Linked DNA regions of Lepisosteus oculatus. The protein of the gene in region 1 interacts with the protein of each later gene in a pairwise test. Links are inferred from orthologs where the notes say so. Each region holds a gene or a part of one and is shown on either strand. Other genes may lie near its edges. The genes, in order: ssx2ipa, morn4 and shfl.

Region 1 (10,536 bases):
CTGCAGCAGCTCATACATAACATTGAGCACAGTCACCAAGCTCAGGTCTCTCTTCCCATTGGAGTCACTGCACAGAGCAGCAAAGCCAAGTGAAGAAAGCTCCTATGAAGAGAGCAGCAATGGTTATTTTAAATTCACATGACTGGTGAGCAACAGTAGTGCTAACTAACTCCATCTTACCAACTTATGCAAGCTCGCAATTGTACAGTAAATGTATGTCTTTATCACTCTGTCAAAAACATCTGTCATAATAGATTTGACAATGACAAAGGCATTGTTTTTGTAACCTATGAGTTAGTAGCCTAATGCATTTTGTTCTACTAAAACCTCGTTCTAATTATTTCTAGTAAGGCCATTTTAAGCCCTCATGTATGTGATTTGTCAAAGTCAGCATAATGATGTTCAGAAGATTTTTTTCATTTAAGGCACAATATAAATTACCTGATTAACATATGAAATGCACTGGGCAACATTGTCCTCTGTACAAAAAGCACCTAAAATGTTATACGAGTGCTTAGACAGAAGAGAGCACTGTATCGAGGAGGGAATATCAAGCCCCAGGGGAGACATTGCAGGTCTAGAGGAAGACAAAGATGCATCTGCGCTCCCTGGAGAAAAGAATCAATGACAAATTACCACCGGCATCCTAGTCTATTCAATTATACAATTACACTCAGAGCAACCCTGTATTCTTTTATTGCAAGAGCTTTCTGTGTCATGTTGAATTCTGAACCTTTCATACTGGTTTCTACTGTTAACTTTAAACTGTATTGTTCATAATGAAATTCACCATGGATATAAGCAGTTAACAGTTTAATGTAGAAAATTACTTGTGATTTTTTAAAAAGAAACAACCACTTGCTACTGATATTGACACTACATTTAACATTCTGTTTGTGTATCACAGGTTATGAGTTTCTTATATGAATTTCCAACCCCTATATTAAATTTATATAATACATTTTATCAAGTATTTTAAAAAAAGGCTAATTGTACATTTTTATACAGGTGTTAGCACCAAAAAGAAGAACATAATGCCAGTGGTTATACATAAACTAATCAGTTTGTCAGCTCAAGGAGATACAAATTGTTATGAATGGCAGTAATTACCCAGTGAAGACTCAGGCATTACTGTCCTCCAATCTCCCATAGCAACTAAAGGCCAAAACACCTGAGGCTGATCCAGTGCAGCAGACAGGGCAAGTGGCAGCTCCAACACATCACAGTCCTGAAACAGAAAAATAGAGCCTGTTAGATCACGTATAGCTATCTAAAACATAGGGGATTAAAACAGCCTAGTACCACTGCTTTGAAGGAGATGACTTCACTGTTTTTGTGTACAAGCATTAAGAGCTTAAACAAAAAGCCACGTACAGATCAAATTCTCAGCTGCTGTATATGAAATATTAAGCCAATACATCACAATTAGTGATGTAAATTAAGCGAATTACATTCTCAAAAAGGTTATGCAATATTATAAAATGTCTGTCAAGTCTGCCATTTATATCAATATTTACATGCAAGTCGAAATTGTCGTTAACAGAAGCCCATTAAGTTTTTTTTTCTGCAAAACAAGCTGAACTACTTCATCCGCCCTATAATTTCAAACACATTACGCATGGTTTCAATTTAAAAACACATCCATGCCTGCACAGAATCCCAGCTCTACACTATCCAGATCCACAAAAGCAAAGAGTATACCACAGAGTAATCAAGCTTTCAAACAGCAAGGAGGTCATCATTACAAGTGGAAATCATATTAGGGTGCCTACGTCGTTATCTACTAATCCACTGCACAGATGGCCTAGCATTTGCAAAAAACACTTTGCCCTGCTCCAACTGGATCCCTTACATTGCAATATGACCTAGAAAATGTCAACACAAACCTGTTTTGTCAGTACGTTAGCAAGACAGCACACAAAATGTGATATATGACTGATTTACAAGAAGAGGCAGAATTAAAATTCTTCTACATATTCTTAAATTGTTAAATGTAGCTTGAAGCTAGAAGTAAAAATAATTCAAATTTTTAATAATTCTGCAATTTTTTTTTAAATGCCATTGGCAATTTAAAATTACTTCATAAGCATTGTGCAGCTAATACATGTCTAGTTAGATCACACTTCTGCAAGTAGTGTAATATTTTTATTTGCCAAATACTACAGAGATTGAGGCACTTGCTCTAATAAAACAAAACAACTGAGAGAAGCATTGTAAAATGCAAGTTGTTTTACCATGTTACACATCGTAGATAACATTACAACTGGACATGACGCAACCATAGATTCGTGGCTCTCCCATCTACTTTAGTTTGTAATGAGAATATTATGAAAAGTAAAGAAGTCATCATAAAAATCTTAACCCTGCATCATTACTTTATAGCCTTTTTACTGCAAAGAATACATTACCACATTTATCAATTTTAATTGAAAATGATGTAAAAATGTTTTTAGTAATAAAAATCAGAACACAAATCTGAATTCTAACCAAATGATCTCCATTTGTTTCTTTCACAATGATTCAAAGATTCTTATGAAAGCAAAAGAAAGGACAAAATCACTTTTAGAGTGGACCAATATTTCCCCCAGCACACGGCAACAAAATTAACTCTATTCAAACCCTTTCAAGTAGGGAAATGTGAAAGGCACAGTTCCTTTTCGATTTTTGTCCCTCCTCTTACCAGAATTTCCAGTAACAATTTGCTGTGCCCCACTTCAGCTTTCCTACATGCACCATAACTAGAACAGTGTATTTTACGCTTAGCATGTAATTAAAATAGATTCTATCCTACTAACAATACAGCGGTAGGCAAGTGAGCTGGTGGGTGGATGTCTAGTTCATTTTATTTTCCAAAATAAAGTGTAAGATGGCACCATCTAGCATCCTACCACCTATAGCTGTAATAAAAAGCAAAACATACAGCTCGATTATTTATACAAAGTATTTACTGACAAATATATAAAAGTCATGCATCCCAAACTGTAGTTGGGCAAAAAAGTACTTCTCATGCATTATCACAAGTTGATATGAAAGGGTCAAGAACAATTCAGAAACCAGAACCAGAGTGAGCACAGTGGATAGAAACTTCATATACATAACAAAGGACATGTTCTACCGTTTCACCGGCAGCAGGCAACATGCCAATATTAAAAATGGTACCATCACAACAGGGAGTTAATAACAGACTTGCCAAGCCCCTGGTAGCTTGTGAAGCCTTCTGAAAAAAAAGTACACAAAATATGTAAATATTTTTAGAATTATCAATAGCAAGAAAAAAAGGTTTCTACCATTTAGTAAAGCGGCACTACATGATTCACATGATTAAAGTGTCTAGTCACGACACCAGTAAAAATATTCCCAAATACAGCAATACAAACCAATGGGAGTCATCAATATAGTCGCATAAAACAAAAACTGATTGAGAAATGTGCTCAAATTAAGTGAGAATCAGTGTAAACCGAGAAACAAAAAGCATGCTCGGGTATAACGTAAACAAAGAGAAATGTATAAAAAGATTAAATGTGATAGTAGTTAGACATTTCTAAAAGTTGACAATTATCATAATTTCAGTTCATGAAACCGGTTAGACCACAATTCACAAGTCAAAGCGGTCAAGACACAGGGCCGCTGGACTGCCACGGCTTGACCAGGACTGGAAAACAAAAATGCTGACCGTACGGAGCTGGTCGATTTTCTGTTGATTCAGAGGATTAGCTAAAGCCTAGCTTTTTTAACACGTTAACGTCCCAGTCATACAAATAAACTAGTTCAGAAATTTTTTATTCCAAGGAATCATAAATAAAATGCATTGAGGAAGCGAAATCAAATACGTAACACGGAAGGCAGTAAAACCTAAGCAATTGAATTATGCTCCTTAACACTTGACTACAAAATTATTATAAACACACAGCTATCTTATAGGCTCAGTTGCGTATTGGGCTGCAGAAGAGAAACGGGGTCTGAAAAGACACTCACTACATAACACCAGATGAACTCCTCTCCTAAGACACCGGCGTTCTCCAGAACACAGTAAACCTATAAATCCACTTCAGACAAGTCCCCAGCATCCAAGTAGGATATTTTAATCTCTTGATCACCAACAGCTGATACTACCAACCTCCCCCACTCTCTCAACAGGCGCAGGTTTGAAGCTTCCGACTCTCTGGCTCACCAACAAACGTTACGGTCATTGGCGAACCTGTTGCCAGGCAACCAGTACCTGCTCACAGTATTGGCTGACACCTGGGCTTTAATTACAGTCCCTGAGAAACCGGTGGGCGTGACATACAGGCATCAGCAGGTGCAAAACAGACCAGCCTTGCAAACCCATGCAGTTCGTTGTTTGATGGTTATTGGAAGTCAGCTTTTCATTTTCTCATATTTATTTCTTCATTATACGGCAATCGAAGGTTATGCATGGGTTTTGGTTGCGTTTACGCACTCTGCTCAGTTTTAGTTTACTAGGTACTAACACTAGATCCCAGAGCAAACTTTTTTTTTCTGTTTCCATGATTTACGTCAATGTACTGTATGCGTCGTCTCTAAAACCAGTTGTATTCTCGCGTCTTCCGGTACCTGAGGAGAAATCGCTTTTATTATATAACTTCAAAACATGGGCGGCTACATTTTCTGCAGCATTTTATACTACAATACCACAAAGAAATATTATCAGCATCAATAAATTACTCTTTAAACAAAACAAAAAAAATTACCTTCAAATGTTAACCCCTTAAATTTGCATTTTATACACATTTAGTTTGGCAATTCATGCTATAAAAGCTATTATTTACAACAGTTTTTTTATCATATAACAATGCTGTCGATATTTTATTGATTGCAGTACAAGAAATTTGATAATCAAAGTCTTTTTTTAGGACTCAAGGTAGGATAAAATATTACTAAGTACTGTGGCTAAGGATCTGTGCTTGTGACTGGAAGGTTGCCGGTTCAAATTTCACAGCCGGCAGAGGAATCCTACTCCGTTGGGCCCCTGAGCAAGGCCCTTAACCCCAACTGCTCCAGGGGCGCTGTACAATGGCTGACCCTGCGCTCTGACCCCCAGCTTCTCTCCCTGTCTGTGTCTCATGGAGAGCAAGCTGGGGTATGCGAAAAGACGAATTCCTAATGCAAGAAATGTATAGGGCTAATAAAGCAACATTAACATTAACATTAAGTACTATATTGTAATATTGAAAGAATCCACATTAATTTTTTAATTGTGGGAAAAATCACTGGAAACAAAATAAACTGTCATATTCACCTGAAGAAGGGTTCACAGCCAAAACATGTTTTCTCGCTTCTCTTTTCAGCAGGGAATAAACCTGTTGTTACTTTGCACAACGCATGCTGACGCAGCTGCCAACATGAACATATTCATATACTTACTAGTAGCAAAAATAATTGAACTGAATTGAATATATGAACTGATCAGAACACCCAGCTACTTGCTTTCAAACGCTTTAGTGTTATATAAGAGGCAGGTTTCTTTTCATACAATCATGGTTTAAAATTACTAAAAAGAGAAAGACAATTTATAGATGACTCTCAACAATAGCAATGTCATTAAAGTAGTCTGCTATTAGAATAAATGTGAGTCAATCATTGTCGAGAGTTGTTTGGGCACGAGACATAAGGTAGTTTCACCTTTTGAATGTCATGTACTGTACTGTGTAGTGAAAATCAAGAAAGAAAAACTTGTGCCTCGTTTTGTAGCGGAGCTAGTTCGGATACGGTGACGTCACCGCCCTCCCTGCGCATAGCAGGGACCTCAGCTGCCTGGGCTGGGGGAGGTCTCCTTTAGCTCAAGCGGCTGGTTCCCTGTTGCCTGGGTTCGCGCCCCAGGTGTTGCGGGACGAAATGGGCAGGGTCCGTGACGGTCGAAACAAGAATATATTTATACCATTCGTAACATAGACAACACTTGCCAGGGACTACAGAACTGCATATAGTAGGGCGGAGGCTGGAAGATAGTCTCTTCCCTTCGTGTGTGTGTGTGTACCTTTCCCCGGTTCAACCCCATTCCCTGAGTTCCATGCCTGCTCCATTCCGTACCGAAACCCGAGGTCGTTACATTGGTGTCAGAGAGGGACGGAGTGGAGCGGTGTGAGGCCCAGTGCGTGGGGAGAGAGCCCTAGCCAAGAAAGATACCATCTTACAAATAAAGTTAAAGAAATTTCATTTAAGATGGTTCATAGATTTTATCCTTTTAAATTGACGTTTTCTAGATTTAAACAAGATGTGTATTTTGTTATAATGAGAAGGATTTTATCAATTGCATATATACAAAATTGTTTTGGATAGATTTGCAAAATGTTATTGTTAAACATTTAAGGTAAATGTTAAATTTAAAGATTTTGATGTTTTATATTTTGTTAGATCTGATTTGGATAAATGTTTTTATAATTAATCTGTTAATTATTTAGGAAAAATACTTCATCCACAAAAGTAAATGTTCTAATACTGCTCCATTTATTAATACTTTTAAAGTGGAATTCCTTTTTTACTTAAATTCTATTAGAAATTTAAAGAATCAAAAGGCAAGACTTACAATGGAAATATGTAAAAAGTATAATTTTCAGCTTTTATAACTATGAATTCCTCTGGATGTGAAGTGTCTATTTTTGTACTCTTTTTCATATTCTGTCTCCTTTTTTGTATTTATGGTGTTTAAATAAAAACACTGACTTAAGAAAAAGCCGACTGTCCACTATTCCATCTGGGTACTATGGAAGCCTCCCTGCCGGAAATGGGATTCCATCAAAACTACTGTAATTAATTTGATTTTTGTCAGGGCACTTGACAAGACAAGTCTTCAGATTTATAGATCCTATGATCCTGTATGATTTATGAATATAGTGTAATGGAATGGCTGACATACAGGTTGTACGATATGGTTGCACTGCGGTGATGGCACCGCCCTCCCCTGAGCATAACAGGGATGCTGGCCGCCAGGGCTTAAGAAAGTCTTCTTTAGCTCAGCTGGCAAGACCTGGGTTCGAGCCCGTGCTGTGAGGCAGAAGCGGTGAGGGCACAAGCCCTAGAACCCGAATCCGTTACAATAACAAAAGGACAGACAATGAAATGTGGGTTATTCAAAGTCACAAATGCGAGATAAAAAGTCAAAATTCTGACATAAAAAAAGATGCAATTGCGAGATATGAAGTCATAATTCTGACATTTCAAGTTGCAATTGTGAGATATCAAGTCATAATTCCAAGAAATAAAGTCGTAATTCTGAGATTTTAAGTCACAATTGTGAGATATAAACTCGTAATTCTGAGATACAATATCGCAATTGCAAGATATCATAGCGCGTTTTTTTTACTCCCTGGTGGAAACAGGCGTGTATAAGGGGGATATGATGAATGATCCTTGGTAATTGTTTTGTACAACAGACCAGTCAATAGAGAGGCCTGATTTCAATAGTCTGGGTAAAAAAGATGGGTCACTACAGAACTCTACATGTAGAGATTGGTGGAAACCTGACTGCATGGCTCTACATCAGGGGTCAGCAAACTATGGCCCACGGGCCAAATCCGGCCCGCTTAACTTTTCTGAGTGGCCCGCAGCTCACTACTGTTTGAATCTCAAAGGTTACTTTTTGCATCAGATATTGAAAATCTTTCGCCAGTGGCCTCTACTTGTAAGCTCTGCTGCTCTCTCAGCACTAATGGTCAATTGTAAAACAACACCTATTGCACAATGCATTTTACTTTTAGCCTATCAGACGTCAGCTTTAGCCTAGGTTACGTACTGTAAGCCTGTGCTACAACTGACTCTTATCGTGAATACATTTGGATTTTTGTTGCCTACTGTGATTGGCTTAGTCACGCAAATGACGTCTAGTGTATGTTATCTTGTTTGAAAGCAGGTAATTATTTTAAATAGTTCTAAAAGTTATAACTGACAAGAGGCTAACTGTAAGTTATTCCTGCCATGTTGAAAAAAAGAAAGATCAATGCAGATGGTCGAAAGTTCAACGAAAAATTGTCAGAAGAGTACTTGTGTGTCCCTTGGAAAGAAAAGGTAATATGTCTTATCTGTCAGGAAACAATCGCCGTGATTAAAGAATACAACATAAAAAAGCATTAAGAGACAAAACATCAGGCTACGTTTTCAGAATACACAGGAGGTAAATGGAGGGAAAAATTAGAACAGTTGAAGAAGTCGCTTTAAGGCAAGCAAAAATTGCTCAAGAGAAAATTAGAAGAAAATGTGGCGGCTACCCGAGCTAGTTATCAAGTATCACTCAGATGGCCCAACAAGGTTAGTAAAAATGTTTAGTGGCCCTTGCTCTAAAAAGTTTGCCAACCCATGCTCTACATTGTTCAAGTCCTTGGACTTCACTTCCATCCCCTCCTATGGGATCATTCCAAAGTGACAATATATGAGCAGGACAACATTTGTCCTCATGCTGCTCACATAACTGGATTTCTTGTGACTTGAAAGTAACATTGATGCCATTGATGCCCTGTTCTCCAGACTCAGGCCCTGCAGATGTTTGTGAGATGAACTGAGATGACATGTGGCTTCTAGGCCTCACGACTAGTGAACACTTTGTGTTCTACAAGGCTCCTGTAGAAGAGAAATAAGATAGAATCCAACAAGACAGCACCTGTGAAGTGGTGCGATGAATGTGTCACAGACAGAAAGTTTGTTTGCCTTCCAGCTGTGGTGACACATACATCTAGTATGTGTCTGTCATAATAGACTCACTGTTGATCAACCCTGTTAATAACAAAAGTCAATTACCAATTAATTTACTTCCTTTCTGTTAATTAAAATGTCAGAGTAACTAGTATAACTATTTGTCATTTTCTTGATAATTTTATCATTTATTCCAGTTAGAAGTAAAATATTTTGATGCTCATATACAAGCACTCAGTTATCCTTTAATGCAATATATGCACAGCACAGCTAAAGTCACCATGGAAGACACTGAGGAGCTGGTGCAGGTTTGTTCCCATGGTAAAATGTCTTTACTAGTTAAAATATTCAGCACTCTTCAAACATAAAAATCATTGGAAAGAACCTGTTTGATTAATCTTTACAAATAGTTTGTGGCTTAAATTTAGGACAGCAATTGGGTTCATTTCAAAGCTAATTCATTCGTATGTAAAAAGTAAAAAATACTGTTCTGTTTCTCTTTTTCCAGACCTCTGTGACTTAAAGTACCTATAATCTTCCTTGGGCTAAACCCTCCCCCCGAATGGAATGTCCACCTGGAAAGGAAGTGCCTTTTTATAATTTTAAATTATCTTGGAAAGTATAGACAGCACAGGTCTGGTTAGGGTCTTGAATCCCCTAAGACCCCTAGGGTCTTGAAGTTTGAACTTTCAGATTTTTTATATGTTTTTGTAAACACATTAGAAAGAAAGATCCAGAACAAAAAAAGGAAAAAACAACAAACACATTTTATTGTTTTCGTTCAAATGTGAACATCAAGGATGTAAATTTCTTTTTCACAGTCTTCTCTAGTATGTCTACTACATTTGCTAAAAACATTGAGAGTGATTTAACTATATAAAACATTTCCCATTATTTTTTAAGATGGGATCTGGAATATCTTCTTTGGAAGGGCCTTGTTTTTGTGGATAGAGCAGTTTCTAGTAAGCTTTCATGTAAAGTAGATATGCAACAATGGATTTCTTTATTAAAAATACTATTCAAAGAATAGATTATATTTAATGTTCCAGGAAACTCAAGCTGTCATTCTAGGTTGTATCTTCAAAGTCTGACTTAGAGGGCAGCAGTTACCACCTAGAGTCCATGATTGAACTAAAAATTGAGTTTAGTTTAAATACACACCAGGATGATATGGTAGATCTTGATGCAGCCGGGATTAGGTAGTATACAGTATTATATCAAGGCTAGTGTTGAAAAACTAACTACAGAATCAGCTTCTCTCGCTCCAGAGCTGCTGTCTTAGAATGGAGTATCCATTACAATCAGAACTGCTCAGTCTTGATTGTACATCTGGATATCTCTTCAGAGCTTATCTGTTAAATGGAAAATGTCATCACAGCCATCAACTTTTTGCACAACTGATATTGCACTCTACTCAGTACTGTACTCCCTACCTACAGGTATACTGTATATTGTTTGGTGCCCAATTGACATTGTTTTCACTGTTCTCTGCACTAAACATGCATTGTACTTCTAAAATTAGCCGACCTGAATGTGTTGTCTCTTGTCATTTGTAATTTTACTTTTTCTTTTTTGCTTGTACTTTGTGTTTTTGTATAGTTTGTAAATTACCATGAATTAGGATATGTTATGAGTAAATACATAACTACATCCTACCTTTTGTCCGTTACAATAAATCTACAGTATGGCATTGTTTAGCAAAACATAGAAAAATATTTTAGGTGGGTAGCTGCATCAGCATGCGTAGGCAGCTAAGGAACAAGTAATAGGTTGATTCCATGCTGAAAAGAGAAGAAAGAAAACACAATATTACACCTGAAGAAGGTTCCAGAAAGTGTTTTCTTTCTTCTCTTTTCAGCATGGAATCAACCTATTACTTGTTCCATAGAA
Region 2 (10,809 bases), on another chromosome or scaffold:
TTACTTCTAGTGAGGCTGTGACAAAGGTAATGGTGTATGGGGTCACATGTTCCAGTGATTCTTCATTTTTAGTAGGATTGAGAAGTGGCCTGGGAAGGTAAAGTCTGTCTTGTGCTCCTCAAAGCAACCCTATGCCACAGTGAGAGCCTGTTCATCTGACTGGGGCTCCTAATAGTTTAGAGAGATGTTGCAGGTACACTATCACAGGTTTGCAACATCTGGAAACGATCAATCAATAGCCATCCTAAGTCGAAAGTGCTCACATGAGGGTGAAGAGTAATACCACTCAAGACACTAGTAATGGTGTGGTCCTTTCTTAGCAACAAGACAAACCTGGCACAGATCACCTGAGTGAGCTCAGCAGGGATCCTTGTGTTAGAAAAACAACCAAGTCCTGAAGGTACTATGGGGCCATTTGGCAGTGTTGGACGAGTCTGTCCCTTTGCATTTCTTGTGGGTTACAGGTCCTGGGGTTTTGTCAAGGCAAGTGTGAGCTGTATATTCTTCCTCTGGAGATGGCCAGTAATGGTAAGGATGGGCACTGTGCTGTCAACTTGGAAAACTCAATCTACCCCCACAGTGGAACAGAGCTCAATATGATGGTTGATGACACCGTCTTTGTAATACACTTGAACTTGAGAGATGCAAAGATCAATTCACCTGCCGATATGTTGCAATCCTGCCCCCTTCATGCGAATCCCACATGATGTCATATTCTAGCATGCCCAGCTGATCTAAAAGGTCTGTTGTGAGTGATCTGACTCATCAGAGATGATCATGTGTGATGTGGTGTCAACCACAGTGGTCTTACTCTACTGCCACTGTCACTGCTCATGTTTTGCGTTGTGGTTGTGCTGCATGGGTGACACATTTGGCACCCTGGAAACAGACGCATTGGCAGATCTACTAATTGAGTCAGATAACTCTTTCCACCTGACAGGTGGTTGACACTTCATCCATCCATAGAAAATGGAACTTCATATTTTGATCATATTTCAGCACCTGGAAATGTTGCCACTTAGCAAGAAAAACACTGTGATAGGAAACATTCAACTGTACCTGTATATTTCCATTCTGGAAGTACATCCCAGTTATTTTCTTTTAGTTTTCAAATTTTCCATTTAAATCATATAGCCTATTCCACACATTTGTCAGAAGCAATTATAGTGATGCCATTTCCTTTCTATAACGCTTACAAATGTCATGAACAGGAAAAAAAATCACCTGCTCAAATCAAATCTCATCATTTTCACCAAGTTTTCTAACGGTGGGGGGGCACCCAGTCCTGCTGTTACATAACTGAACATAACTGGTCTAAAAATAGGATTAATATGAGCTCTTCTCTTAACTCAACTCTTAAACATGTTGGAGGTTACCATTTACAGTACCTATTGCTTTTTGTACAGAACTAAACATCTCTAACTCTACGGGAAAAAAGAAAAACATTTACAGGGCTCCAAATCTAGTCCCCCGTTAGTTCAATGAAGGAAGGAGCTCAGCTGGATCGAAAACCCGGAGGCCAGGACTGGGAATCCCAGCAATGGTGGATTGAAAGGTATGTGTTCAGGTAAGAGGTAACATGGATTGACAGGATAAGCTGACACAGAGACATCCCTGTACACAGCATTGTGCGAGAGGGGCTTGATGGTAAAAAAAAAATTCTCTCCTAGCTAAATTAGGTTTACCATCTGTTAGTATTTAGGATTGTAACCCTTTCCCTGATCTGAAACCTCTTTAGAAGGGATTTTGTTTAGCTCAAAAATCAGCTCCTGAAAGGAATGTCAGGAATGTAAGGGCCTGTTTTCAATACAATCCAGGACACCAGCTCAGCTTTGCGGCAATCTTCCTGATCCCAGCAAGGTGAGGTACTGCACTTTTTGCACTATGTCCTGTCTTGGCTGTATTTTAATGTCTATTGTCTGAATTTATTGTCCATGTCTGTTCGTCATTTGTGATTTTTTTTCCCTTTCTCTAATGTTACTGGGTACAGCTGAATGAGTAAGCATTCCAATACACTTGTATATGGCAAATAAAGAAATCTTGAAATCTTGAAACTGGCTGATTTCTTAAAGTCCTTAGCTGCTCTCTATAGATTCCAACATGCATACACTGACAGCAAACTATGTATCCCTAATACTACTAAAAATATAAACACCAGAAACAACAAGTATGTAATAATATCAAAAGGGCATTTCATATTAAAGAACTAATCCCGAGGCCAATGTTAAAATGCAGCTTATATCTACTACATTTTAACCAGATCAAATTATTTTGTGAATATTAAGTGTTCTTAGAAGTAACTTTATTTTTATTAGTTATATCTTCTGTCATAACACCATTTTACACAGAAGAATCTGACTGAAGTGATTCTGGAAACCTTTCCAGTCCCTGCAGAAACCCTTGCACAGTGACATCAGGTTAGTCATGTTGTGTGACGTCAAGGTTTACCAGCTAATTAGGATTTAGCTTATTTCAAGGAGCTTTTGTTGTCAGTCCCTGTCCTTGAAAGCAAGAACACTAAGTACAGACAATACTAAGTTGCTACCCACAGCTAACACTGCAGCATGCACAAATCTGGGAAAGATCAGAACATACGCTGCATTGGACAGCCAGGAAATTCAAATTCCATGTCGCCTGCATTTTCTAACATTTAAGAGCACGTGCTCTTTGTTAGGTGTTGTCTGTTACAAAGAAACTCATGACATGAAGCACTTACTTCTCCCCAGCTTTGTTCTAATGGAAACACGATGCTTTTACAAACACACAAGTAAAGGCTGCCTCAGAGCGCCTGTTCCTATTCTGTTATGAATAAAGGGCAGATTACCCTTGACTGGTGAGAAGGCACAGTGACTGATGGAGCTTGACTGAAGCTAGAAGAAAGATGATTGTAAGGACTGATTTAAACTGTGAGTTATGTAAGTATCTGCTTCCAACAAGAGGCTGTTATCTTTGAAGGCTCTGTTAGGGTACGTTATTTAAGCTTTTGGGCAATGTTTTCCATCTGACAGAAAAAAAGCACATTTTACTTAGCAATCTCTAAGATCTGCAGTTACGTTCAACTTCAGGAACATGTTCTTTAAGCAGTTTTGACCACGCTCGGTTTCATGCCAACCACAAATGAACCCAATTATTCTTCTCTGTGTGAATGACAGAGAGTCCAGCACAAGAGCCCCGGTTTCTAATTCTAATAATGTTGCTATCTGTGTGGAGTTTGCATGTTCTTCTTGAGTTTTTTTTTCCCCCATGGGTTACCTCCCGTGGTTCAAAGACATAATGGTGGGTGGAAATTGACCTTGGTGTGCGTGTGTGTCTGTGTCTGCCTTGTGCCGATTTGTCATGCGGTGCAGGATGTCCTCTGCCTGTCTTGCGGGGTCAGGCTAAACCCTGGATTGGATTTAGCAGTTCGAAAATGGCTGAATGGATAAAGCATAGGGATGGGCCAAGCGAAGTAATTGCAGTTCAGACCCGGGAGCCTCTGTCCTCAAACGGAGGACGAAGACATCACCCATCCTAGACCGCCTTTCTAAAACATTTAAAGCCACCTGCCTTCTTTCCACTCGCCGTGATATTCCTCTCCGCTGGAGTAGGTGAAGGATCCTCTGGTCAGGGTCATGTCGCAGACTGCCTGTGGGGGCACACAGCAGCCAGCAGAAGAGGTTGAGTCTCAGAGACACGACGACCAGAGAAAGAACAGCTCACCCCCTCAAAGACTAGAAGCAGAGCTCTCAATTCTGAGTGGCCACACATCATATTTTCACAGGTCCTGCCACTGGCATTAGTGGGGGAGGGGGGGGCACGAATGTTAAAAATAAAGATCACTTTGCACATTTGTTTTTTTCTTTAACACGCATATTAGGAATTGCACATGCAGAAATCAAAAGAGATAGTCCTTAATCCTTTATTCAACCAAAGAAGTAAAAAAAAAGAGACGCTCTCGTCTATAATAAGGAGCCGGTGATCCATTTACGCAGTGGGGCTCTTGCACGAGCAATGTGATCAATTCACCTCATTCAAGTGAATAACACCAGTGTCCTGTTTGGGTTCAAAACCTGCAGCACTCCAGTCTGGAGTCCGGAGCCCTAATCACAAGTCCACGCTGCTGTCTAAAAAGGCTGCCCCCTGAGAGAATGGACACAGGAACTCAAAGCACTGGTGGCAACAGCTCTATGAAACTGCTCCACCACCACACCATGTCTGCGCTACATTTGTGCTGCTTGAGGAGGGAGAAGTGGGAGTCATTGTGGCACTGTTTGAAACCAGTACAGTTTCACTAAGATGGTGACAAAAGTACTAAGGACCATGCAGGGAGAACTCTAGGAAGGAATAATTTTAACTCCCTGAGGGGCCAGAAGATTAAACATACAGTACCAGCCTCAGAGAATCACAATTGTCAGTACCTTAATGTCTGTCACAAACCGGTACCACTGTCTCATCCATATACACATCAGTGCCTTAAAACAAACTCTGTGTGAGAGGAAAACAAACATATTTTCACGCTGGTACTGTATTGGGTACCATTAATCTTTTGCTGTTACAGACCAGAGAAGAACATAGGAACAGGTTTTCCTCCGATGACTCTGATGCTGCTTCCTGACGGCTGCTTTGTCTCTGAAGTCTTCCAAGCGGTCAAAGATCAGGTCTGTGAAACAACTCCCAGAGCGCTTCTGTGGGTAGCGGAGCTGCGCTGCTGCAATTGCGTTCTTGTTAAGGAACGTTACAGATTAAAATAAGAGCAATAAGAATAAACTAGTCTCGGTCATGAAGGATGCGATGCCTTCTTATTTCAACTTTAAACCGTGACTCGGGACTGTTCATGTTGATTTCACCATTAAATCGAGCGCAAATTATACTGCACCCCATTTTGCATGAGAAGCACAGCTCAGTCAAATGAATAGAGAAATCGAGTGATGTAAAGCCGAAGCAATGTAGGCATAATGGAATAAATTATTTAAGCAGGTGAATAGCTGTTCTTTCGTCTATAGTGCTATTATTGTTGGTTAAAAGATACTGACAGCTCCAGACTTAATAACCTCCGTATACGAAATGGTTACTCCTGGCATTCAGTGCACGTTTTTGTTGTATATCCCTTGAAATGTTACCACAGTAACGCAACAAAGTCATTTCCCTACGTGTCGCCGGCATATCACTTACAGTAACAGTACTAATAAACTACTTCAGCAAATTTAAACACACAGCTGCAAGATGATCCAACTGACCGTCGTTACTGCGTGATAAGATAAACAAATTATTTACCTGTTTTATGATCTTGGGACTTCAGAAGCACATAAATCCACCAATTTTATATTTACAATTCAGGCAATGGTGCAATATAACTGCTATACAGTACACCCTGTGACGAAAATTAGGCTCTCCTGACCCCGCCCCCTCTAGCGGCGAGGCTTCACGCTCTTCCTAAAGTCTCACTGTCCCATTGTCCGTTTTGCGTTACTTTGCATTTAAAGCGAATCCTGATTGGCTGGATTGTTTCCTTCTGAGGTCTGATAGCTGACATTTTTGTTAGGGGCATCACACAGCCGTGCCTGTGGATTTAATTAATAGGGATATGTTTGGTCGTGGCTTTTGCGCAGAGGCATTAATTATGGGATTCGTTTTTAATTACGTTGTGAAACTTTATATATCTATCTAGTGATTAGATATTTCTTTATTTTCATTCAGGTTAAGCAACCGCTAAACATTCAGTTGGCGTATGGCAGTTTTGCAAGGTTCTCTGAAAACGTTTCAGGTATATATATATATTAAATTAACTAAATTCATTCAGTATGCTGTATGAATTTAGCACAGAGTCGGATGTATTTTCATCTACAGATGTCTTTTTTTTAGTGACGAAATGAGTACTTTCGATTTCTGCATACCCCGATTTCTTCTGCCTTACAGATGTAGTTAGTTTGTAATCTAGCTGCTCCACAAAGGTCAGGACTCACCGCCTCTCTGCTTCCGCAGGAGTGAATACAATAAATGTCTTCTATCTCATCAAGATGCACCTACATTACAACCGCGGTAGCACCCAAGCTTTTATCACTTGAACTACTTCAGATCTTCGAATGATATATGGACGTGTGAAGGGTTGCATACAGCCATAAAGTAAAGCAAACGGTAAAGTATGGGAGAATTATACTGTGGGTCGCACAGACGTAGTAAATCCGCAAGGAGAAGATTGCAGAATTGTAGCTTTGGTATTTACAGTAGGCAAAGCACAGAAGCGGTCAAAGGCAAACGCGCTACTTGGATGCATAGCAAAGAGTGACATACTGTACTGTATTAGATAGCTGGGAGTTACCTGTGCCTGGAAGAGATTTTCAATGCAAATGCAGTGCCCTACCTGGAATCTGAAATCAGAACCTTGCAGTTATGAGCCTGGATCCCTAACCACTCCTGCACATGCTGTCTGATTTTTATTTTAATATAAATTTAAAATGAAACACCAAATAGATATACTGAATTTCCTTGTACATTTCACTTATCATTTACTTCATGACTTAATGTGCTGAATGGGTCTTACTTAAACTTGAACTTGAACTTGAACTTTATTGCCATATGTAACCGGTACTGGTACAATGGAATTCTTACTTACAGAAAGTCTCTCGATTGTAAAACAAGTGTAAAAAAACAAAACAAGTGCAAACAGTGCATCAAGACAATGTACAAACAAACAATAGACAATGTGCAAGTAAACATGCAGGCAGTTTGAATGTAAACAATACAGACGTGTAAACAATGACTGGAGACGTACAATAAATAAATTACAATGAGGTAGATGGTGATGGGTGTGGTCCGAGGGGGATGGCTAAATGTGTTCGCCAGTCTCACTGCTTGTGGATAGAAGCTATTGAAGAATCTAGTGGTAAGTGTCCGTATGCTCTTATATCTCTTGCCTGAGGGCAGTGGGGTGAAGAGCTCATGCCCAGGGTGGTGACTGTCCTCTGTGATGGCCAGAATTCTACCACGGCAGCGGTCCTCATAGAGCTGTTTAATCTCGGTGAGACCGCAGCCGATGATCTTCTGGGCCATATTGACCATTCTCTGCAGTGCCTTTCTTTCTCGCGAAGAGGTGTTGCCATACCACACGGTGATCCCGTTGGTGAGGACGCTCTCGATAGTGCAGCGGTAGAAGTTCACCAACACATGTATTGGCATCCCCCATCGCTTGAGGCGCCTCAAGAAATAAAGGCGCTGCTGAGCCTTCTTCATGATAGAGTCAGTGTTCACAGTCCAGGTTAGATCTTTAGAGATGTGAATTCCCAAAAACCTAAAGCTGGTGACTGTTTCCACTTCCGTTCCATCAATACTGAGTGGGCTGTGAGTGTGTGGCCTTTGTAATACTTACAAAGTATTACAAAGCCGAATAGTGTTTTTTAGTAAAATATATGCATTTAGACCACTAGATTGAGTTAGGTTGAAAGGGAGATAAATGTGTGTTGTTCAATGCTCTAAAGTCCATCGCCTGTTCTTTCTGTGGTCTTGGTTTACAAACATCAAAAGTTTTTTTCACAGGCTGTTTTTGCTTATAATAGCAAGGGTGATCTCAAAATAAACTGAGATCCAAGAAGCACAACTGTACTGCTGCACAGGGATCAAAATGAGGTGTAGATATTGCAAAGGGCATAGTAAGAAGCAAATCTTACATTATCAGGGAAATCTTTTTTAACAACTGTACTGACATGTTTTAAAACAGACATTGCAGTGGAAGATTCATATTTGTCATCAATGGGTTTACTGTGAAAGTCACAGGCTGGTAGCATGTGTGCACACTGCTGGAAGCAATACAGGGTGTATATCTAAAGCACATATGACACACTAGGTTACAGATGCTGTCTTATAGGACTCTGTCCCTTTCCTCTCCTACAGTCTGGACAAGCAGGTGTCTGTTCACTGATCTCTGAGTCCTAGATGCCTCATGTCAGCTCATCCCACAGCTGCTCAATAAGTCCCAAGTCTAACGACTAGGGTATCCTTGTTGTGGCTCGTCTTGCAAGGAAGCTGTTGTTTGACAAAGAGAATATTATCGTGCTGGACTTTGTCACATCAGCTGCATGAGAGAAGGCAGTGAGGTCATGAAGTTCCCTGTGAACAGGTTGCATTCCATTGCTACAAGTGGAGATCTGTAGGGAAAGGAGTTTCCAACCCAGACCATCACACTTGAACCAAACCATCAGCCCATTGACAATAAAAGGTTGCGCATTGTTCTACACATGTATCACCCCTGTCAAGTCCACCTCAGGTGACTTAGTCCAGTCTCTAGCATACTGATGGCATGAAGGCATTAATCTCTTAAATTCAGAATATTAGTTCCTTTTGACATCTCTGTTCTTGAGTTTCACTGGACTTGACATTCAACAAGTTAAGCCACCTTTATGCCTGTTCAATGCCCACTAATGAGGTGATTCAGTGCTCATGCAACAGTAGATGTCACTCTAGCATATCAAGATCGAGTGATCTATTAATCAAAATGGTGCAAAAACATTAAGTTTGTCTAAAAACAAATAGAAATAAGTAATGAATTAATTTTGATAGGCAGTTTAGTGTATGAACCTTTTCCTCCAATAAACCTCTAGCAAGACATCATGGAAACTGTCTTCAACCCACAGTTTTTGTTAATGTTAATATAGTTCAATTCTATATGTGTGTAGATTTTACGTCGCCAAGTTTAGTACCCATGGTGCATTTTCATTAATCAGGATACTTAATCTTTTTGCACTGCCGTTTTATCCGATGTTCATATATAAGGATTCCTTATATATGAAAGTTTTTCACTTTAACTCCCATCTAATACAGTTTATAGAGTGTAGAGGGTTTTGATTTAAAGCGCTCCGTTATATTGAAAATGCGCTGTTTAGTAAGCGGCAATGGGTTGAATGAAATTCGTACAGTAGTACTTTATTAAAGTTACGATTGTAGTAATTTATGGAGAGCCATAAAAATATAACATGAGTTTCCTAAAAGCCAAATTCGGGCTTGAGGAATTAATCTATTAAAAATGACCACAATGCGGTCTCATCAAATTCAAGTAACACTCGCACCGCTACATTGTAATTGCCCTTGACAGTGTCCCAGAATCTCCTCCGACGGGACAGGGATCCCCTTAATTAAATTACGCGCACGCGTGCAAGGCCGGGAATATGGGCTGCCTTCCAGTTTTAATCACGCGTCACTTTTCATCCATCAAGAATATTAAGCTTTTATTTTTTGGGGGGCGGCGGAGGCGAGTAGAAGATGCCGCAGCAGAAAACTCCACCCCTAGACACAGCACACACACAAAAAAGGGCCGTGGCGATGACGTGCACGCTGGGACGCACCCAGCAAAACGTGCGCGGCGGCGGGTGGGGCCGGTAGAAAATGGCGAGTCTGTGTAAGAGGCAGCAATGCACGCTCGAGAGACGCGGCTTTCGGCAGGAACTTGACTCGTGGCGGCATAAACTTATTCACTGTGTAGGTAAGCTCGTTTCACATTGCATGCAGGACCGGACGCGGCGCCCGGGACTCCGGGGTTTGGAAAAATATACTTTGTTTCTCTCGTAGTCCCAACGCAAAAAAATTCTGTTTCTAACCGTCGGGAGCAGCACGGAGCGGCTTTTTTTTTTGTCTAGTGCAGCTCTTCCGTCAAGAGAGCCTGCCTCCCTCCGTTCCGGTCGCCAGATTCTGGCTGTGAAATGCGTTATACTGCCTATATAGTGGAAGTGTCCGTACGGTACGGGGCGTCCTGTAGGCAGAATTCGTTTGCTCCCTGGTTATATTATCTATCTCTTTATTGCTAGGTAACAAAGATATATCAGGCTTTGTTTTCCTGTTTATTTTACGGAGGGTGTATCACGTGAACGGCGCTGCTTCCTTTAAGCCAATGAGATCGGGGCTCCCGGGCGCGTGCTCCTCTGCGTTTTTTCTTGTTTTCTTCTGTGGGGGGAGGGGGAGGCGCGCGCTCCCGGCAGCCCCGGGTTCTGCTGCTGAGGTCGGTGCCGCGCGCTCCCTGGCTGCCCTCGAGTCGGCCCCGGGGGCGCGCATTGCTGCAATGGGGGGAATCGCTCAGAAAAATTTGCTGTATTTTATATTTTGGCAAGCCGGGGAAGATGTCGGTTAAATTATATTTAAAGGTCAGGCGCACTAGACGTTTTAAGTTCGCGCGACACGTGCAGTAGCTTGCTGAAAATGTCTTGGTCAGTAGTTACAATTATATATATATATTCTAAATGTAATACAGCATATTTATTTTTATCTTCTTTAAACATTTTGCTTAATTTCTTTGGAAGTCCTTTGCTTATTTTCTGATGCACAGGGGCTTTATGTGTTACATCTGTGGAGTATTCCACAAGCTTTTTTGCAATGCATATTTTAGTTCAGTGCTGTAATTTTACAGACGTCAAATTTCGGTTGTCTTCCAAATGTTCACATTTGAAATGTCGCCCTTCTCCGGGCTACCCTCCCCCATTTCGAATGTTTCTTGATGCTAATCCATTTAAATCGGTATATTTGGTGTTACTGGGAGATCAGGATTCACTTCACGGTGATCTCTTATCCCAAAGGGCTCGCTTCGTCCAAACTGCATTAATCATTTTCCCTGCTAACCTATCTCTGTAGGTACAGTCGATATTCCCTGCTTAGTTAAATCGGTGCCTTGTTTTCACTTGCCGGTATTTGTTCTGAGGCGTTAGACGTGACATGGGTTTTGTTTGACAGAATACGTGGTAAAACAAATTCTTAAATGTTCGTTTGACAACTTTTTTTAAGCGGCCGAAAATATTGCGTTTATAAGAGAGATTTTAAACAGATTTTGCAGTTACGCACTTCAATTTGCTT
Region 3 (11,116 bases), on another chromosome or scaffold:
AATGAGTGATTAATATGCGCACTAATACTGTTCCAATGAGTGATTAATGTGTGCGCTAAAACTGTTCCAATGAGTAATGTGTGCACTAATACTGTTCCAAAGAGTGATAAATGTGCACACTAATACTGTTCCAATGAGTGATTAATGTGCACACTAATACTGTTCCAATGAGTGATTAATGTGTGTGCTAATACTGTTCCAATGAGTGATTAATGTGTGTGCTAATACTGTTCCAATGACAGGTTAATGTGTGCACTGATACTCTTCCAATAAGTGATGTGTGCGCTAATACTGTTCCAATGAGTGATTAACGTGCACTCGTATCCCAGTCCCTAAACTCTTACAAAAATAGTAAAGCCAGTCCTTACCTTAATATCACCATCGTCGACGGGAGTTCTCTTCTGGGCGATCTGCTGGAGAGAAACAGATTAACCACACGGAGGTCCATTGCCAAGGACCTGTTGCCACATCCTGCACAGCGTCACCTTTCCGGTAATGTAACACAGCTGTGCTGCAGGAACATCAGGACTAGCCCACATACTGTATATCTCCACCACATCAGACTCATGCCAGGAGCACGGTCCTCACAGGTGGAGTATTGCGCAGGTCTTTAATATGCATTGGTTTCAGGCTGAGAGATAATGTCAATTGATACGCCTCCAGACTGCATGAAACGCCTTCCAGATTACACTAAATAAAAGTGTCATAACAGTAACTGCATCCCTGGTATGGCATTTACGAAAGTCTGCAGGATTGTTCTACACTTCAGATTTTATTCCCACTGATTTTCTCCCACATGTTCAGTCTGCTTCCAGGATGGTTGAGGACATGAATCCCTTGTGCTAGAGCTCATTTGTCATGGATCAGTGCGTCTGTTGTTTCACTGAAATCTAGACTGATAGGACTGTATCTGGTCAGTAAAATAGCAGAAAATACCATGCTCCAGCCTAGAGAGAGGTCAGAGGTCACCCCGGCTTCTGCAGCATTAAGTGAGACTGGCCCCTGGACCAGAGGATGGATGGACCTGGAGGATGCTAATCTCTCGCAGGGTTCCCCTCCGGCCACGCTGGTTACTTTTCATACTAATGGGTTGACAGCAGCAAAAGGGGGTACAGTACCTCCCTCTAGGGTGCTGCTATGGGGACTCAAACCCACAGACCACCAGTTACACGTCTGCAGCTCTACCCTTGACTGCCCTTGTAAATAAAGTTCTGGGAAGCCAGATACTCGCTCCATGAAAAGAAGCTGATTCAAGCAGCCAGGGTACACCCCTTCATGTTTTTCTGTCCCTGCTCTCCACCAACACCAGAAGTGTCCCTGCCCTTGTGTGCCACTGCATGATACTGGAACAGGACCAACAACAGCCGCTTTGTTTCTCTAAAGCGAGTAGATAAAGCCTCTTTGTTCATCTCGCGTATTGTGCAACCGCAGCGTGACCCTGCAGGGCCGCCAGCGTACCTGCGGGCCCCTGGGCGGGGCTGGGGCCGGGCCTGGGGCGAGCTCCTGGGACTGCTCTTCTGCCTGGAGCTTCTGAACAACGTTCTGAAACGGGACGGGCGCACACAGGCAGGGGGTAGAAAACAGAGGGACGTGAGAGCGGACACAGGCACGGCCCTCGGGCCAGACTGACGCCGGCCCACAGAGCAGGAGGTCGTCTACAGTGAAACAGTAACCCCCCCCACACACACACACACACACACGTTTCAGCTCTGCTGAACACCAGCATTCCCCTTCTTCCTTCTCTATTTTTTCCGTGTCCTCTCTTGCCCCTTTCCTCCCTCTCTCTACCCCTGTCCTGCCCCTCCATGCTTCTACTCTCCCCCCTCCCTTCCTCCAGGCAGCCCCAGTGCACTCTGGGAAGGAGCTTTACCCTGACCACCGCGTCTCTCTTCAAGCACATCATGTCCTCTTCGTCCAGCCCTGCGCAGAAGGGAGAGACCATGATGAGCTGCCCGTCCACCCGGCTGACCGCACACAGAGGCCCTGGCCAGACCTAGGGGGCCAGCAGACCCGGCGGGCCGGGAGCACCACGCCCACGCCAGCTCCCAGGCCACAGCCCCCTGGATCCAGCTGCACCGCCAGCGGCTCCAGCGACTGCCTGTGCGGACCCGCCACAATCCCTGTGACCTCATCTCTCCTGTCTGCCACCAGGGGGGACCAGTACTCTTGTTTTGAGGGAAAGGAAGGCCAGGAACTAAAAAGCCTGACTTTACAGTGTGCAATTCCACTGCAAAACCAAATCCCTGTGCCTTCCGTCTCAGGGCGGGCGATTCGCTGGCTTTCTCAACCACCCTTGCTGGCGACAGGTCACCAGCACGGCACATTCTCGGATTTTCACGCCGTCTTCCTGTGCGTCTCAGATCTTTTTGCTGCATGTGGGCCTCTCCCAGGGCGGACTCATCATGTGCACCACTGCAGGGGCCGGAGTCACCAAGCTTCGCTACAGCGGGTCACGATTGGGGGCGACCGTGTAGGGCAGGTGGAGTGGGATTCTGGTCCTGGAGGTCTTGCTGGTCACTTGGGGGGAGACGTTCACCTCATCCAGCTAAGCCAAGAAGGACCGGTGACCCTCCAAGACCAGAGCTGTGCGCCCCCTGGTGTAGGGAATGCGAGCTGCTTGTGTTGAAAAACCCAATGTGTCACAGGTAAACCCCCCCCCCCCCCCCGCCACCTCCTTCAGCCACACTGTCACCTAACCTCTGTCCTTCATCAGGATGATATCCATGGCGACCAGCTGGTGGTTGTTACCATAGCGACGCATCAGCACCGTGGCAACCTCGATAGAGACCTTGCCGTAGAACTGCTCTCGCAGGCGCCGGACACTCTTCTCCAGCTTGAGGTGGACAAGGAGGAACACACAGAGTCACTCCGGGGAGTCAGAGAGAGGAGCAGACAGGAGGAGACAGGAGAGAGGTGAGAGGAGGAGCGAGGAGGCAGGAGAGAGAGGCAGAGTGAGATAAGTGAGGAGCGAGGGAAAGAGAGGAGGAAGCTGGGACTGTTACTTCATGAACTCTCCTCTTCCTGCAGTGGAGTCGCTCGCTCTACAGACACTGCGGCGGTGGCGCTCTGTCCCGGGACCCGACTGTGACTCCTGCAGAGACAGACTCCGCTCCTTCCATCCACACACTGACAAGCTTAACAAGTACCTAACGGAGGCGGTGCTCAGCCTGTGGGGACCCGAGTCACGGCAGCCCTGGTCCAGTCCAGGTTTTACCAGCTCCTGCCTGCTGGATGTCCACAGCTGCCTTACTTGGAGGGGAACGGCGCACAAAGACGAGGAGTTACCAATATCAACATCCCCACATCCAATCATACCCTCAGAGCTGGTGAATCCTGAAATGGGTCAAACTGCTGTGCGCCAGGAGTCTGTGTCCGCGCGGACACCACACAGGGACGGTGCCTGTTTCTCAGACGTCCGGGACACTGACCCCCAGGCTAACACCTCCCATTTTGGCAGGGCAGGGCTTCATAAGGACACCTTTGCCAGCACACTTTGAAAACGCAAACGCAAAGGAAAAACCCGGACAACCGTGTCTCAGCTACCGGCCACCTCTCGCCTCTCTCCCCCAGTGCACTCCACACCGCTTGCAACAGCAAAAGAAAAAAAAGCAAAAAATAAAAGGTGGAGGGTCATTTCCTTACCCCCACCCCCCAGGGAGACCTACAGTAGCCATGACTACACTACAGCCGTCCAGGGGTGCCGGTGTTGCCAGGCGACAGACCCGGGCCCTGCCGGGGTGTCCGGCCTGCCTATTCCCTGTGCAGCTCAGCCCGAGGGATACAGTCCTCGTAACAGACAGGCGCCCGGGGTATCTGACGTGCGCCCACAAGCGCGGTGACCCGAACTGGGGTCAGTGCGTGTGCGCCTCTGGAGATGGACTGAGAGGGGCGGTTTAACGATGTGACACTTCGGTATGAAGTTCGGACAAGTGTTTTTTTTCTTTGCGTGTCACCGCTTTTCAGCCTCCTCTAAAACCTAGACGGACCGAGAGACAGGTTTGGAAATAACAGACAGTCGCACAGATCGGTAGACTGACGGTCTTACACCAGATAGAGACAGGTGGGGAGAAGTTTTTTTTTACGTTTAATAAAAAACGGGGGACGGGAACTATACGAGTTCAAAGTGAAGTTACACCGTGGCCTCCCAGCCTTTTTCCGTAAAAACGTGCCTAACAGACACCAATCGTATCCGGTTAGAAAGCCGACGCTGCCGGAGTCAGCCAGGCGCCGATTCCCCCCGAGCAAGCAGGAGGGGTGGCGCTGTGGCAAAACCCGAAGTTTAGTCGCAGAATAAGCCGTTGAACTGCGCTGTGGGTTTAAGTAACCGCGGGAAGCGCCGTCGAGAAGCACTGGTCCGCAAACCACGAAATAATAATAAAAAAACCACAATGCAGCAGAAGAAATCATGAACAGCAAAGCGGAAAAATAATTGTTCCAACTGCCCTACCTCCACCACCTCATCCTGAAGCCTGCGAGCCATGGCTCGGGTTGAAGCCGACTGTGTGTGGCGGACGCGCACGGCCGCACTGCAGCAGCTGCGGACTGGTGTTGCTACGATTAACAGCTGGGCCTGCGTTTGCACTCGCTCGCGTTCCTGCTCCTGCAGAAGCGGCCGCTGCCCTGCAGCCCCGAGCGTCTCCTTCACACCTACTTTCGGTTTCACACTGCTCGCTGGCGCAAGCGCGGCTACCGCCACTAGGCGGCGCCATTTCGCCAGGACCGTGCATGAACTGTCAGCTCGAACCACATACCTCCCTCGTACGAGCGAAGTAAAGACTAAAGCAAAGACTGCTCGGGTCTAACTTTTTTTTTCTTCTGTTTACAGAGGCCATGCGACTCTGGTGCTTTCATCTCAGCAAACAGCGCAATGCTGACTCTGCACACCGCCGTCTTTCTGTTTAAAGAAAGTTTTTAAAAGCCCAGTCGTGGCTGTAGGTAAAACGTGGAGTTGTATCCTACGTAAACATCTCAGGTTCATGTCTTGACCCTGGCATTTGTACTGTGACATTTATTTATAACTGATTTTTTTATAAAATATCGGATCCCTGAGTTCTAATTTAATTACAAAAGTACGTTCAATATTTGAACTTTTACTTGTAGTCATTCTAAACTATGGACCGCAGAATTTTTATTTTAACAAAACGAGCTCCCGATTAATGAAATAATGAAAGCAAACCTGCACAAAGCCGTAAAAAAAGAGAGAAGTCGCAACCGATTAAACTACAATCCCCAGAAAGCACCGCGCCGAGCGACCCACGGCGTTTCCTCCGCCCTCGCTCGGAGCCCCCCTCTCCACCCTCCACCCTCCGGCCAGCCTTGATGTGTTCATACAGTAGCCAGGACCAGTCTGGTGATGCGCTGTCGATGTGGGTACAGACGTGTAAACTTCTGTAGCGCAAAACGGGGAAAGTTTTTGCATAAACGATCAGCGATGGACGGTTTCTGGTGAGCTTGCAGAACGCAGGTTGGAAGTAAAGACTTTGCTGTTCTGGCAAAATTCTTCTTTTACGCGAACTGGCTGTGGCGAGCTCAGTTACAACGGCGCTTACAGTGCAGCAGCATCTCTCTTTTTTGAGTGGGGGTGGGTGAAATTGTGTTTAAGCCCCTGCAGTTTTAGATCTCTGTAAACGGAGGTGTAATTTGTTAAAACCTAGGTAATTTACCTGAATTATGGGTACTGTGCGTGTGTATTACAGTAAATGCGTACCACCGTTTAGTTTAGCAGTCCCAGAGTTTATTCCCTGTTGAAACAATCTGTAATACCGCAATACAAAAATACAGCGTTACCTAGATTAACTCTTGTTATTTTACGCCAGGACTCCAGGTTGTAACGAGGCATCTTGTACAGCTAACAGAATGATCTGTATTTTAAATGATCTGCCAGTGTGATAGACGCTGTAAGGGCAGTACTGTTATTCACTGTTATTTTCGTTGACGCCTATTAGCGGCTTCTAATTTGCTTCAGCAATCAATATGGACGCCAGCTTTACTGCTACTTAACGTCTTTATTGGGATGAGGGAAAAAGGACTGCTTCCAGAGGGATGTGAGAGTTTTTGAAATACGATGTTGAAATAAAGATTTAATAACGCGTTTCACGATCCTGCGTCAAGGAGGAAACTCAATAATATCGAATACTTTGTGATTATGCTGCAACAAGTCCAGAATGTCTTCAGTGTTTTCCCAATCGCAGATAAAGACACGCTGGTGTGCCTGAGTCGTGTGCAAGTTGGTGAAAAGAAGATGCTCATTGTATTTTGCCCTCTTTCCCACCCAAACTGTACCTTAAGCCACACACAGACACACACACACACCTGACCAAGCAGCGTCTGCAGTTCCCTGCAGCTGAACTGTTAAGTGACGACTTTGCGGGTGTCTTCCAGGTAGGGGCAGTCGAACCCCGGCTGAGGAGATCGGCGCTCCGGGTGGTGAGCGATTTCAGGTAATTTCGTTTCCCCCGCCGCGCCAAGCGTGCCTCCTCCCCGGAGCGGCAGCGATCCCTCTGAAGCGCGGGGGGCGCCAGCTCGGCCTTCCCTGCTCCCTCACACTCTCCTGGGTGCCCTGCTGACGCAGCTGACCCCCTGACTCACGTCACTGGGCCAGAGGTCTCCAGGTCGGCCGAGAAGCAGGATCCCAGCCCCTGACATCCAGGGATTGCCCCTGCTTTCCGATGGCTCAAGGTGCCACAAGCCGGCAGCCTGGAGGAGGGGGGGGCCAACCTGTATATTTTCAAATGCGATAGAAATCGGAATCAGTGCTCTGTGACAAGATGTCGCTCCAGGACTGATTGACTGATTGGGCATTAAGTCACTGGGCTGGGGCTGCACAGTGTCCCTCCCCACTCTGTGTGTGCCTCTGCAGCAACACGAGAGCACAGACACTGCTTCGCAGAGGGTACCTGTACTGCACACACGTCGGTGAAACCGTGTTATGAAGCTGAAACGCAGGTCTTGGGTAGTTCTGCAATAGCGACTCTACAGAAACCCATGACAGTGAATTCCTGACACGCGTGCTGCGTGTGCAAAGCCATTTCTGCATCTTCTTACTGCAGCAGCTCCTGCACACAGCTCCCCTGAGCTGCCACTGGTAGGAGGCTGAGAATTCATGGGGCCGATGGGCACCTCCAGGAAGGGGAGAAGGGGGGGTGACTAATGAATGTGAGGCCACTGCAGACAAAGCGCTTCCTTTTCACGGAAGGAATTAAGAGTTGTGTTGCCGGGCCTCAGGGCGGGAGACGAGCCGGTAAGGCCAGCCTTCCCTGAAAGGGTTAAAGACCTTCTGGGTAACCATAGGGATCTCCGTCGCGCCATGCTGCGACGGGACAAAGAGGATTAAAGGCTTAGTGCCAGATCAGGCTGCTCCACTGGTCCGTGTGTGTGTGTGCGCATGTGACAGGGAGGAAACTCAATAGAGCCCTGTGTTTCCCTGGACAGTTCGATTCCCCGTGACCCGGTCACAGGGGGCACGCTGTCCGTCCCGGGCTCTCCAGGAAGAGACTCCTGCTTTTCTGGAGGATGAGGAGGGGCGCTGATAGCCGGTAGCTTCCTTTCCCGGACCAGACCCTGCAGAGGAAGCAGGAACAGGGGTTGCAGTCCCAGTGAGTATGTGACGGTGACAGGCACTGCACACACTGCACGCGTTTTGGACTTTAGCTTGTTAGTTTTCATCAGTGTGATCTGCATACCAAAGGTTTTTTGTACCAGCCTTTATTTTTAGCATTATCCTTGATTGCATTATAAATGTCTCCCTACAGCTGGAGGTACAGTACTCCTGCATAGGCAGTATTTATTAGCTATTGTTGTTGAGTTGCTGGAGATAAATGTGCAGTGATCAAGTGAGTCTAGAAGTAAGAACTGTACCGAGATCATGTGTGCTGTGCTAAAAAAGTCATACCTTTCTTACGGGGCCTGGCCTACTTAACATTGATAAGCACGTGGTTTCCATTTATATCATGACAAAAAAAAAGGGCATGTGTTTTTACCTGTTGTAGCATAGGCATCCAGCAGGGCGGCGCCATGGCATGCAAGACCGTGCTGGTAACAGGCTGCTCCTCGGGGATTGGGCTAGCTGTGGCCGTACGTCTGGCCAAGGATGAGCTGAAGAGGTTCAAAGGTCAGAGGCACCTCAAGTATCATGATCATTATTGTCTGACGGTATAGAAGCTGTATTCCTACACATGGAATAACACACAGTAAAAAAAAAGCTATGGGGGTAAAAGTTGTGTAAGGGAGGCCTTTGCTGATGCATAGTCCCCCGTCTGGCAGTGGTGGCCACCATGAGGGATCTGGACCGCAGAGGCCCGCTGGAGCAGGCGGCAGGGAGCGCCCTGAACCGGACCCTGGAGATCAAGGAGCTGGACGCCTGCAGCGAGGACTCCATCAGGAGCTGTGTGGACAGCATCCCCTCCCGCCAGGTGGACATCCTGGGTGAGACAGACTTACAGGCGCACAGCCTTACGTGGGCCTTGTGCCAGGCAGAAGTTGTTGAGCTCAAAAGCAAGAAATATGCCATCTGCTTTGTCTTAATGTAATTCTTCAGGATCCACAGCTGCAGCAGTGTGCTGGCCTGGAGCAGGGCTCTGGGAACCCCGTCCCCTGCAGCTGTAAACGCTAGCCCCTAACTGGTTTAAACTCTTGTCAGGAATGACGGTTTTCCTACAGTACGTTTCATTCCAGAAGCACAGAGGTGCGTCTCTCACATAAAAAAGCCGAGAAAAAAGTCAGAAGTGACTGGCACACTGTGATGAGTTTGTAGAACCACTTCTTGCCCCGCGGGCCTGCAGAGTGGTGTTGAAACAGGATATACGATCATTTCCTCCTACTGTGCGTGTGCGTGCCGCCCTGGCATCTTGGCGTCTCTCCTCAGTGAACAACGCGGGCGTGGGCATGATCGGCCCGCTGGAGTGCCAGAGCATCGGCGCCATGCAGCGGCTGTTCGACACCAACTTCTTCGGGCTGGCGCGCCTGGTGAGGGAGGTGCTGCCGGACATGAAGAGGCGTCAGGACGGGCACATCGTGGTGATGAGCAGCGTCATGGGCATCCAGGGTGGGCAGCTGGGGGTGGAAAGGGGGGGGCGGGTCCATGCTTCTTTCATATAATTGGTAGGAAATTGACATTTACCTTCTCATGGGTGAAAATATTAGGAATTCGCCCCCTAGTGGACTCGTGGGGAAACACTCAGTGGCCTGCGCCCATTATTTCCACAACAGGGAAGTTGGTCCTCGGGCTAACCTTGATGAGCTTGTAGAGCTTGATGCTGGAGAACCCAGGCAGGCATGACCTGTAGCTTGACTATGGCTGTAACCAGTGTAGCCGGTCTGCTGCCTTGGTGCTTTTCCCACCAGGCTATGCATTGTATGACTGGCATGTGGGCCCATTTGCATACTGTGATGAAATGGATGTGCTTGCCTTGAAACCTGGGGAAACACTAGGGCCATACACAGACGATAAAAGGCCTTTGAGAATGAGAGTATTCAGAGCACAAAAGGGGAAGATCCATTTTCATGTGACTGGTATTCCTTCAGAAGAGGCCTTTTCGGAAGATTCAACATCAGCTGTCTGGGAACTGCCCTGTGACTTCCTGCAGCCCTCCAGGGGCACAGCTAATTTTCTCTCCTCGTCTCTCTTTCTTATCCTCTCATCCGAACCCATCTTCCCCCGGGGGCCCCAGGTCTTCTCTTCAACGACGTTTACTCCGCCTCCAAGTTCGCGGTGGAGGGTTTCTGCGAGAGCCTGGCGGTGCAGGCCCTCAAATTCAACATCAGGTGAGTGCGGGGCCTCTGCTCTCCAACCCCAGAGCTTTCCTGGATTCCAGAGCATTCCACAGATCGCCCACACGGGAATCTAGTTAAGGTTTGCTGGCGTCTGGTCGAGAAGGATAAGGCTCCTCAGCCCGGGGTGGTGGTACCGCCTGTGCTTGGAGTTGGCGTGAGCGAATGGTCCTCCCTCTTCCCCCCCTCTCCCCTTCCCAGGATGAGCCTGATCGAGCCCGGGCCGGTCATCACGGAGTTCGAGAAGAAGGTCTACGAGGAAGCGGACGGCATGGACCTGGCGGGCACCGACGAGGAGACGGCCAGGATATTCCGGCAGGTCTACCTCCCGTACTCGCGGAAGATCTTCGCCGCGCTGGGGCAGACCCCCGAGGAGATCGCAGAGGTAGCGCAGTCGGCTGAGGAGCTGCCCCTAGGTCTCATACAGAGGGAAATACCTTCAGCGCGGCGGGTTTGCACACATGGGCCCACTCTGAAGGCTGGGCAAGTCCTGCCCCATCGTGCCGCAGTCTGAGAGTGGTGCTTGTCCATCTAGGGGCTTTTAACTGACCGCTTGATTGGCTTCTGGGAATAAAAATATTCCTCGTGCGGGTCACTGGCCTGCCCAGTGCGGTTCCAGTCTCCTCGGCCTATAACCCCCGCTTTTGCTTTCCAATTTTTTTCCCATCGCAGCAAACATTCCAGGTGATCACGGCCGACAGCCCCCCCTTCCGGCTGCAGACCAACCGCCTCTACACCCCCCTGACGACGCTGAAGCACGCCGACCCCAGCGGGCGCCTGCCCCTGGACGCCTTCTTCAAGATGGTCTTCAAGCACGACCGCGTCTTCAGCGCCAGCCTGGGCTTCCTCCGGCTCCTGCGCGGGCGTGGCGCCAAGAAAGCCTGTTGAGACAGCGGGATGGGTGGGGGGGGGGATGTTGGGGCGCGGGCATGTCGCCTCACTCTCATCACTCGGGCACGCCCCCTCCCGCCTCCTTCACCACGGGCCCGGATCTGTCCCGCAGCGTCCAGCCGGAATCGCAGGGATAATCGGAGCGAGCCCTGTGTCGGCTGGGCCGGGGCCGGGGCCGGGCCCCCACCACGGCTCCTTCCCTCTGGTCTTCAAAGGCCGCAGTCCTGCTGGGCTGTTCCTAAAGCACCGCCTCCCGCGCCCTCGCCAGCCTCGATGTTTCGGAATGGTGGTTCAATCACGTCGAACAAGAGAAGCGTTAGCGAGAGGAACAGGCCTCTCAGCACGCCTGTCCAGTTTGCTACGCGGTTCTGCGATGGCACCGCGGCCCCGGTCACCCCCGCCTCCAGAGCTGATCTGTGCCATTGGAGGAACACCGGATTCTAACAGGTGTCCAGAA

Evidence for each region.
Region 2: the proteins of ssx2ipa (region 1) and morn4 interact in binary tests that used the Homo sapiens proteins (3 or more experiments, as listed by UniProt). The two-hybrid records come from large-scale screens. The link is inferred for Lepisosteus oculatus from reciprocal best matches to the Homo sapiens genes SSX2IP and MORN4.
Region 3: the proteins of ssx2ipa (region 1) and shfl interact in binary tests that used the Homo sapiens proteins (3 or more experiments, as listed by UniProt). The two-hybrid records come from large-scale screens. The link is inferred for Lepisosteus oculatus from reciprocal best matches to the Homo sapiens genes SSX2IP and SHFL.

Annotation. Positions count from the first base shown.
Region 1 is NC_090704.1:172,538-183,073, forward strand, and holds the start of ssx2ipa (synovial sarcoma, X breakpoint 2 interacting protein a), read right to left. Parts: upstream 4,174-10,536; 5' UTR 3,976-4,173; intron 1,229-3,975; 5' UTR 1,151-1,228; coding exon 1,111-1,150; intron 609-1,110; coding exon 442-608; intron 103-441; coding exon 1-102. UniProt on the Homo sapiens protein: Belongs to an adhesion system, which plays a role in the organization of homotypic, interneuronal and heterotypic cell-cell adherens junctions (AJs).
Region 2 is NC_090699.1:44,155,843-44,166,651, forward strand, and holds the start of morn4 (MORN repeat-containing protein 4), read right to left. Parts: upstream 5,363-10,809; 5' UTR 5,254-5,362; intron 5,026-5,253; exon of another isoform or gene 4,540-5,025; intron 3,626-4,539; 5' UTR 3,614-3,625; coding exon 3,547-3,613; intron 1-3,546. Other genes in the region: lcor (streptococcal hemagglutinin), read left to right, coding at 9,355-9,451. UniProt on the Homo sapiens protein: Plays a role in promoting axonal degeneration following neuronal injury by toxic insult or trauma.
Region 3 is NC_090706.1:14,468,037-14,479,152, forward strand, and holds the start of shfl (shiftless antiviral inhibitor of ribosomal frameshifting protein homolog), read right to left. Parts: upstream 4,682-11,116; 5' UTR 4,481-4,681; coding exon 4,448-4,480; intron 4,061-4,447; exon of another isoform or gene 3,956-4,060; intron 3,913-3,955; exon of another isoform or gene 2,913-3,912; intron 2,834-2,912; coding exon 2,698-2,833; intron 1,921-2,697; coding exon 1,871-1,920; intron 1,543-1,870; coding exon 1,459-1,542; intron 414-1,458; coding exon 369-413; intron 1-368. Other genes in the region: retinol dehydrogenase 8, read left to right, coding at 8,014-8,110, 8,263-8,424, 8,864-9,043, 9,669-9,762, 9,970-10,153, 10,441-10,656.